Macaca mulatta: one gene and its partner. The protein of the gene in region 1 interacts with the protein of each later gene in a biochemical or structural test. Links are inferred from orthologs where the notes say so. Each region holds a gene or a part of one and is shown on either strand. Other genes may lie near its edges.

Region 1 (4,489 bases):
AATGAATGAATGAATGAATGAATGAATGAATGAATGAATGAACAAAAAAATGTGCAGGAGAATTCAAAAGAGGAGCAGCAGACAGGGAATAAAATGGCCCCTGGAAGAACCAGTAAACAGGCACAGGAGTGGTCTGTAGAGGCGGAGGATAAGGCTTGAAGCTAAAAACGAGATTAGTTAAAAGTCTAAACACAGGGCTGGGCACAGTGGCTCACGCCTGTAATCCCAACACTTTGGGAGGCCAAGGCAGGGATCACTTGAGGTCAGGAGTTCAAGACCAGCCTGGCCAACATGGTGAAACCCTGTCTCTACTACAAATACAAAAATTAGCCAGGCATGGTGGTGCATGCCTGTAATCCCAGCTACTCGGGAGGCTGAGGCAGGAGCACTGCTTGAACCTGGGAGATTGTGCCACAGCACTCCAGCCTGGGTGACAGAGCGAGACTCTGTCTCAAAAAAAAAAAAAAAGAGAAAAGGATAAGAAGTGGCATACCTGTAACTCCTCCCTCTCAATGTTTCAGTCCATATCTCGAAAGGAAGGTATATTATTCTACACAACCATAACTCATTAACAGATTTAAGAAAATCACCCCCACCCCGGCGTGGTGGCTCACACCTGTAATCCTACCACTTTGGGAGGCTGAGGCGGATCACCTGAGGTGGGAGTTCGAAAACCAGCCTGGCTAACATGGTGAAACCCCGTCTCTACTAAAAATAATTTTTTAAAATGCCAGGTGTGGTGATGGGCACCGGCAATCCCAGCTACTTGGGAGGCTGAGACAGGAGAACTGCTTGAACCTGGGAGGTGGAGGGTGCACCACTGCACTCCAGCCTGGGCGACAGAGGGAAAGTCTGTCTTAAAAAAAAAAAAAAAAAGAAAGAGAACATCACCGACAGACATCCCAAGGCCCCCCTGAAACGTGATCTCCCTTCATTTCCCAATCCAACCAAGAGCAACAGAAAATATCTGTTACCCCTAAAATGGGTGCAACTTATCTTCCAACTCCCAGGTCCAGCAGCTAGGGAAAGAAAAGAAGCTGCCCAGGAGAAGAGCCTCACCAAACTGCTAAATCAGCACCACATGGGCCGCTTCAACCTGGAGCCAAAGGGCTGCCACCCCTCGCCGCCTGACCAGTTGACAACAGGGCTGTCCTGAGCCAACATCCAGGAGAGCTGTTGGGGCGAGAGCTGTGCCAGGGCCGTGTCTGGTCTGCGTTGCCACCTGGGCCAAGAGACCTGTGCCTTTCCACCAGGGGATACCCCAGCTCCGGGACAAATGACCAAAAAGGAGGAGAAGCCTCTGCTCTCCAGGAGACGTCTGACTCTGTCTTTGGGAAGGCCACACAGGGTGGGCAGCCCAGCCCCTTTCTCCAGGAGCTGGCGGGTTCTAAGTCACCATCACCAAGAAGAAACAGTTCTCCGCCAGGCCAGGCATGGTGACTCATGGGGAGGCCGCGGCAGGCAGGTCACCTGAGGTCAGGAGTTCGAGATCTGCCTGGTCAACATGGTTAAAACTCATCTCTACTAAAAATGCAAAAATTAGCTGGGTGTGGTGGCAGGCACCTGTAATCCCAGCTACTCGGGAGGCTGAGGCAGGAGAATAGCTTGAATCTGGGAGGCGGAAGTTACAGTGAGCCGAGATTGCGGCAGTGCACTCCAGCCTGGGAGACCGAGCGAGACTCCATCTCAAAAAAAAAAAAAAAAAAAAAAAAAAAAAAGAACCGATGTTATGGAAGAGAAAGAGCAGCCCTTAACCAAGCCAACGCCCTCTTAGGCCTCTTCGCCTTACCTTCCTGAACGTTTGGACTGAAAGAGGGTGCATCTCAGCTATCCTCTCCTCCGGCGGGAGGCAGTGGGGATCAGTTTTTCTAGGCTACAAAAACGTGCCAGGTCTGCCTTTGAGCCCCACAGCATCGCTTCTCCAGTGGGTTTGGGGGTCTCTCCTCCGTTAGGAGGAGGGGTGTAGGGCCTGCGCTAGGATCCTTTTCCTTGCCAGCCTGCTGGCTTCCTCGATGCCTGGGGAAGGGGGTGACAGAGGCCCACCAAGAAGCCAAGTGCAATTCACTTCCAGCTGGGTCACCCACCCCAGCCTGCCTGCAGCGCCCCACACCCAGGCACCTACTGCTCCCCAGAGGCCAACTCCCCCCGGCCTCCAGGGCTACTAACCGAGGGGGAGGTAGGGCCCCAGGAACTCTGCCCGGCTTCCCTTTACTGGAGTCCAGGGGCAGGGAGCGTCCCTGGCCTTCTCCCCACCCGGCATCCAATCGCCCATTCGCCTCTTGGTTTCGCAGCTTGGTTTCTCTTCCTGTTTATGGATTTAACTCCGTGCGGGTTCCTCCCCAGCCCACCCAGTGCCAGATCCCTGTTCAACAGGACCTGTCTTCTGGGGTCCCAGGAATTGTGTGGGATCTTGCGCAGAAAGTTGGCCAGGCAAATCCTTTGGAACGAGGGGGAAATAAACCGAAAATAGATGCCGGCAGATGCGATAATCTCGGCAGTTTGTCCCGGGGACACCGAGGCCCAGGCGCTGGGAGCGCGACCCCAGGCAGCAGCCTCCGGACCTAGCCGAGCTCTTCCTCGCAGGCGCCTCCCTCGGGGCTCCTGGCCGCGTCCCCGCTCCGGGGGCCGGGGTCCCGCGCACAGGCCGGGGAGGGGAGCAGAGGGGAGGGGGCTGGCGGGCGGGCCGGCGGGGCTGTTTTCTGCTTTTCTTGTCGACGCTTCGGAGTGCGCGGGCTCCCACCCCAGCCCGCCCGTCAGGGTCAGTCCCGAGGGTCCTGGCTCCCCACCTGCCCCCAGGAACGCCGCGGGGCCGCGCCTAGGCCCGACCGGGGACGCAGAAGAACCCGTCTCGGCGGCCGGTGGCACCGTCCCCGCCAAGGTCACTTCCGCCGCGGTGACCCCGCGCCCCCGGCACTCACCGAACGCTGCCGCCGAGAGTCTGCAGCCCAGCCTGCGCGCCGCGGAGCCGGTGCCGTTGCCGGAGCCCTGCAGCCGCCGTAGCCTGGGCCAGCCCCGGCCCTAAGTACCCTCCCGGTCCTGCGCCACGTGACTACCGCGCAGCCCCGCCCGTGCCCTCCCGCTGCCCGCGCACCCCGCTTCCCAGCCCCCACCTCCTCCCGCCACCTTCCGCCGCCCGCGCTCCCCTCTTCCCGGCCCCGCACCCCCCCACCCCTTCCGCCGGGGGTCCGGGGACACCGCCGGGGAGGGCGGGGGCCTGAGCGCCCGGGTTGGGGAAGAGGGGCTTGGAGCCCTGCGGGCCCTGGGTGGCGAAACGCTGCGAATTGGGGCCAGGGGATGGGGAAAAAGCCCCGAAAGGTGGTCCCAGAGCCCCCACCCCACCTAGAAAAGTCCCCCCGCCTCGCGGGACCGCTTCCGCCAGAACCGGCGCCGGGGATCCCTGCCTGCCGGGTTGGCGGGGGCGGGGTGGGGGAGAGGGCGCCGTCGCTTATTTCATTCATCAGAAGCCGCTGCAGGGGCTGGGGGTGGCGAGGCTGTGGACCCTACAGAACAGTCTTTAAACGCTCCACTTTGTTGTTCTGAGAACGTACCCACAAAACACTCCAGCTACGTACAAATAGAAAAGGGTGGCTGTCACCGCGAAGGAACCTAGGAGCTGCGTCAGGATTTCTACAGAGGAGGAGAAGGACCTTGGGGGGCGGAAATCGGCTTGGCACAGGAGTCCCGGGAGACCTGCTCCGAGAGGACTGACAAAGTGAACATTTACTTGGGGTTTATTAGCGGGAGGGCCTGGAGGGGAGATGCTGGGGTTGGCTCAAGACACCCTCCTCCAGACCCTCCCCAAACAGCTCTAATCCTAAAGACAAACCTGCAAGGCAGGCATGACCCCTGTATTCAAGAGGCTCAAAGAGGCTGGGCGCGGTGGCTCACGCCTGTAATCCCAGCACTTTGGGAGGCCGAGGCGGGCGGATCACCTGAGGTTGGGAGTTCAAGACCAGCCTGACCAACATGGAGAAACTCCGGCTCTACTAAAAATACAAAATTAGCCGGGCGTGGTGGCGCGGAAGGCTGAGGCAGGAGAATCACTTGAACCCGGGAGGCGGAGGTTGTGGTGACCCGAGATCTTGCCATTGCACTCCAGCCTGGGCAACAAGAGTGAAACCCTGCCTTAAAAAAAAAAAAAAAAAAAAAAGAAGTTCAGAAGAATCATCGTATTTTATCCAGGCTGTGGCGACAGTAAAAAGGCAGTAGGACTCCAAGGGACGTGGCTCCCTGCAGCCCGGTCGTCAGCTGTCACACAGCCCTGAGCCTGCCAGGGTCTTCAGAGTCATACCTGTATTCCCGCCTGGTTAGTACCAAACTAAGGATAGGAGTGGAAGGAAAAAATAATCTCTGGAGCCCAAACATGGTCACTAAGCCCCCAGCGGAGTGGGATACCCAAGGAACTGAGGACCAGAAGGCTGGAGGTCAAGGTGGTCCCAACTGCCTGCTCACCCTAGCCCTATCCTGAGGGCCATGGACTCCAGACTCC
Region 2 (4,229 bases), on another chromosome or scaffold:
GGGTCTCGCCCACAGACCCGCCCCAGGGCATGGGAGGATGAGCACTGGCCCCTCTCTTTGCTGTTTCGGGAGCAGGAACAGCAAAGTCTGCAGGGCATGGCAGGGAAACCCCCAGGAGGCTGTGGAGGAGGCTGTGCACCGTGGAGGTGCTGGTTCCAGGCCAGGCCGCCTGTGCAGCGTGGGCACTGACGCCGCTGACAGGGAGCAGCAGGGGCCGGCCTCTCACCGGGGGAGCCCTGAAAGGCAGGATGAGTTAGAAAGCCGCAAGTGACCGACCAGTCACCTGTGTCGGGGGTGTCGACAGTGGGGCAGACGGGATGCGAGGGCGCAGGGGTGGCTCTGGGGGAGGGTCCCCCATGCAGTGGCACAGAATGAGGAACTCTGCTGGCCTTAGGGCTCAAGTCAGGCTCTGGTCTCCACCTTCCTTGTCTGCAAAGTATGACAGGAACACTCAGCCCGAGCGCTCCCATAAGGAGTCGGTAAGACAGGGCCCGACTAGGGGGTGTCCAGGAAGCGCCCCTGCCCCTCCCTCCCGCCCTTCCTTAGAGACCACCCGGCAAATGGGCTGCCTGGTTCATACGCCTGCCTTAACGCCCCTCCCAGTAGCCATGGCTGGGCCCACTCAGGTCACTTTTGAGACAGGGACTCTTTTCTCCTGGCTGCAACAAGAACTCATTCGAAGTTCAGAGTGGGTGACAATGCGGGATGTCTTAGGCCTGGAAAGCCAGGAAACGGGTAAGGAAGAGCTGGGTAGGCTTCTATGAGTGGCTGTCGGGGAGAGGAACCACTTTTCCAGGTGCGGCTCCCACAAGCAGCCTGGGCAGGCACCGGCCGGACAAAAATGCCTCATTTCCAAAGGTGTCATGAGACTGACTCATTCTGCCCTTCTTCCCGCAGTCAGATGGTCAAAAACCCTTGAGTGATGAGGCTGTGGGCTGATCACATTCAGGAAGCAGCAGAGGGGAGGAAAGATAAAAGGAGAAAGAAGGCTGGGCAGGGCTCACGCCTGCAGTCCCAGTGAGAAAGAAGGCTGGGCGGGGCTCACCCCCGCAATCCCAGCACTGTGGAAGGGTGAAGCTGGAGGGCCGCTTGAGCCCAGGAATTTGAGACTAGCCTGGCAACATGGTGAAACCCCGTCTCTACTAAAAATACAAAAATTAGCCAGGCGTGGTGGCGTGCACCTGTAGTCCCAGCTACTCAGGAGGCTGAGGCAGGAGAATCGCTTGAACCCGGGAGGTCAAGGCTGTGCCACTGCATTCCAGCCTGGGTGACAGAACAAGACCCTGTGTCAATAAATAAATAAATAAAAATAAAGGAAAAGAAATTTGTTTCCTTTTTCCTCTCCTTACTCAAAACACAGGCCAGACCAGCCTGGCCAACATGGCGAAACCCCGTCTCTACTAAAAATACAAAAAACTAGCCAGGTGAGGTGGCGGGCGCCTGTAATCCCAGCTACTTGGGAGGCTGAGGCAAGAGAATAGCTTGAACCCAGGAGGCAGAGGTTGCAGTGAGCTGAGATCATGCCACTGCACTCCAGCCTAGGTAACAGACCGAGACTCTGTCTCAAAGAAAACAAAAACAAAACAAAAACAGGCCTCGGCTGGGCATGGTGGCTCACACCTGTAATCCCAGCACTTTGGGAGGCTGAGGTGGGCAGATTACTTGAGGTCAGGAGTTCAAGACTAGCCTGGCCAATCTGGTGAAACCCCGTTTCTACTAACAATACAAAAAGTAGCCGGGCATGATGGTGCATGCCTGTAATCCCAGCTACTCAGGAGGCTAAGGCAGGAGAATCTCTTGAACCTGGGAAGTGGAGGTTGCAGGGAGCCCAGATTGCGCCACTGCACTCCAGTCTGGGCAACAGGGTGAGACTCCGTCTCAAAAACAAAAAACAAAAAACCCAGGCCTCAGCATCGCCTGGACCTGTTCCTGCTTGGGGCATCCACTTGGTCACCAACTATGACAGGGAGGCGGGCCCGGCCTGTGCTCCACCGGAGGGGCTTCCTGCAGAGGACCTGCTCACTGAAGCCCCTCTAGAATCCTCTGGAAGGTGCAAAGCAACAGGACGTCCATTTTACAGACGAGGAAACCGAGGCACAGGGAAGGTTGCCCTCTGCAACCCAGCCCGGTTTTTATCTTGTTTTTTTGTGTGTTTTAGCTTTTTATTTAGACTTACAGTTTGAAACAGTGTTAGAATCAGAAGCGTGTAAAGAAACCTGTAGACCCTTTGTGCAGATACGCTTAAGTTTTTAACCCATGTGCCTTACCGCTGGGGACCTCTTGCACTCTCTCATGATATTTGCCTGAACTAGTTGAAGATATTGACAAAGATTCTTGCTTGGCCAAACTGTAGTCGGGCTCCTGAAGCGCCTAGGCCACCTGCGCACTTCCTTGTAAAATCCAATTTTAGCAAGAAGCCTGGCTAAGTCCGTTTGGCCAGACCCTCCCCACCCGCTTGCTATCGGGTCACCGTGAAGTTTGGAGCCGGCTGCTCACCTGCGCCATCGCCGGCGACGCCCGATCACCTGAAGCGCCTCATGCCTGGGGTTTCCCCTCAGGGATTGTCCATCCAGGGACCGCACCCTGCTCCGGGGCTATCAGTTGCCACTCGCGCTTGCTGTATTCAGCGGAGCCCAGTGTCTCCCCAGCGCCGACCCAGGCGCGGCCCCCTCCCCTGCACACTCGCACGCAGCGCCCGAGCGGAGGGAGGCCTCTCACGGCCACAGCCCGGCCAGCCCGGGGGTCCAGGACCGAACCCGCCCGCCCAGGTGCGCAGCGGGGCCGAAGTGGCTTCTCCCGCTCCAGGAGCCGCGGCCTTGCCCTGAGGCTCAGGCGGGACCCCGGGCCGGCCCCGTCCCCGGGGCCCACCCACCTGGTCGGCGATGTCCTGGGTCTCGGCGGTGGCCGGCTGCACGGCGGAGGGCGCCCCGCACATCATCTTGGCGGCGTCGGAGGGAACCTGGCGAGGGGACTCGGCGACGGGACGCGGCGGCTCCTCTGCTCAAGTAGGCGCTGCGGTCACGTGACACGCGGGCGGCACCAAGGCGCGGGGAGGGGGGACCTTGGCTTGGGCGTCCCCTGCGGGGTCGCGGTGGCCCCGCAATAAGGGGCGCGCGGGGCGGGGCGCAGGGAAGGCGCGGGGCTGGGAGCCTGGCTACCACGCTCCGCGGGCTCCGTCTCCGCGCCCAGGGCCGGTGTCGGGAAGCAGCGCCCCCCTCCCGGGGTTGGTGTGGTCTTTCCAGGCGCCGAGTCACAAGGACTGGGCGGGGGCGCGGCCGGGTGTCGCCGGTGGGTTGGGCGCGCAGGGTGGGACCATAGGGAGGGGCAGTCGGAGGGGGAGCCGTCCTGCAGTGTGGCGGGGTCCGGGCCGCGCACGAGGGAGGGCACGGGTGGGGTGGGCGCAGCGCTACAGGGGTCAGGGGTTCCGGCCCTGCGGGAGCAGGTGTGCTGGCTGCTGTGGACATCACCGCTTGTGACCCAGGACACTGAAGGCTGAAGCGGGTGGACAGAGGGGCCCAGGGAGGAGGAGACGCGCCCATGCGCCCCAGGCTGGGTGGGGGCAGGGGGTAGATCAGAGGGATGAGAAGAAGGCAGGGTTCTCTGGTGGAACTGGAATTTGAGTTTTAGGATTTCTTTTCTTTTTTCTTTTCCTTTTCTTTTTTTTTTTTTTCTTTTTTCTTTTTTTTTTCTTTTTGAGACAGAGTCTCGCTCCGTCGCCCAGGCTGGAGTGCAGTGGCTCAATCTCGGCTCACTCTAATCTCCACCTCCCGGGTTCAAGCGTTCCTCCTGCCTCAGCCTCCCTAGTAGCTGCGATTTCAGGAGCGCGCCACCACGCCCGGCTAATGTTTGTGTTTTTTGTAGAGACGGGGTTTCCCCATATTGGCCAGGATGGTCTCGAACCCTGACCTCATGATCCACCCGCCTTGGGCTCCCAAAGTACTGGGATTACAAGCATGAGTCACCGAGCCTGACCTCTTTTTTTTCTTTCTTTCTTTCGTTCTTTTTTTTTTTTTTTTAATTTAGGCAGGGTCTTGCTCTGTTGGACAGGCTGGGATACAGTGGCCTGATCACAACTCACTGCAGCCTGGACCTCCTGGGCTCAATCGATCTTCCCACCTCAGCTGCTATAGTAACAGGCTCATCCTACCACACGCATATACAGAGAGTTTCACCATGTTTCCCAGACTGGTCTGGAACTTCCGAGGGATCTGTCCACCTCGGCCTCTCAA

The links.
Region 2: the proteins of CTSB (region 1) and CSTB form a complex in vitro, tested with the Homo sapiens proteins (2 studies listed by BioGRID). The link is inferred for Macaca mulatta from reciprocal best matches to the Homo sapiens genes CTSB and CSTB.

What each region holds. Positions count from the first base shown.
Region 1 is NC_133413.1:9,424,716-9,429,204, reverse strand, and holds the start of CTSB (cathepsin B), read right to left. Parts: upstream 2,997-4,489; 5' UTR 2,919-2,996; exon of another isoform or gene 1,790-2,918; intron 1-1,789. UniProt on the Homo sapiens protein: Thiol protease which is believed to participate in intracellular degradation and turnover of proteins. Cleaves matrix extracellular phosphoglycoprotein MEPE. Involved in the solubilization of cross-linked TG/thyroglobulin in the thyroid follicle lumen.
Region 2 is NC_133408.1:3,750,270-3,754,498, reverse strand, and holds the start of CSTB (cystatin-B), read right to left. Parts: upstream 3,033-4,229; 5' UTR 2,939-3,032; coding exon 2,873-2,938; intron 1-2,872. UniProt on the Homo sapiens protein: This is an intracellular thiol proteinase inhibitor. Tightly binding reversible inhibitor of cathepsins L, H and B.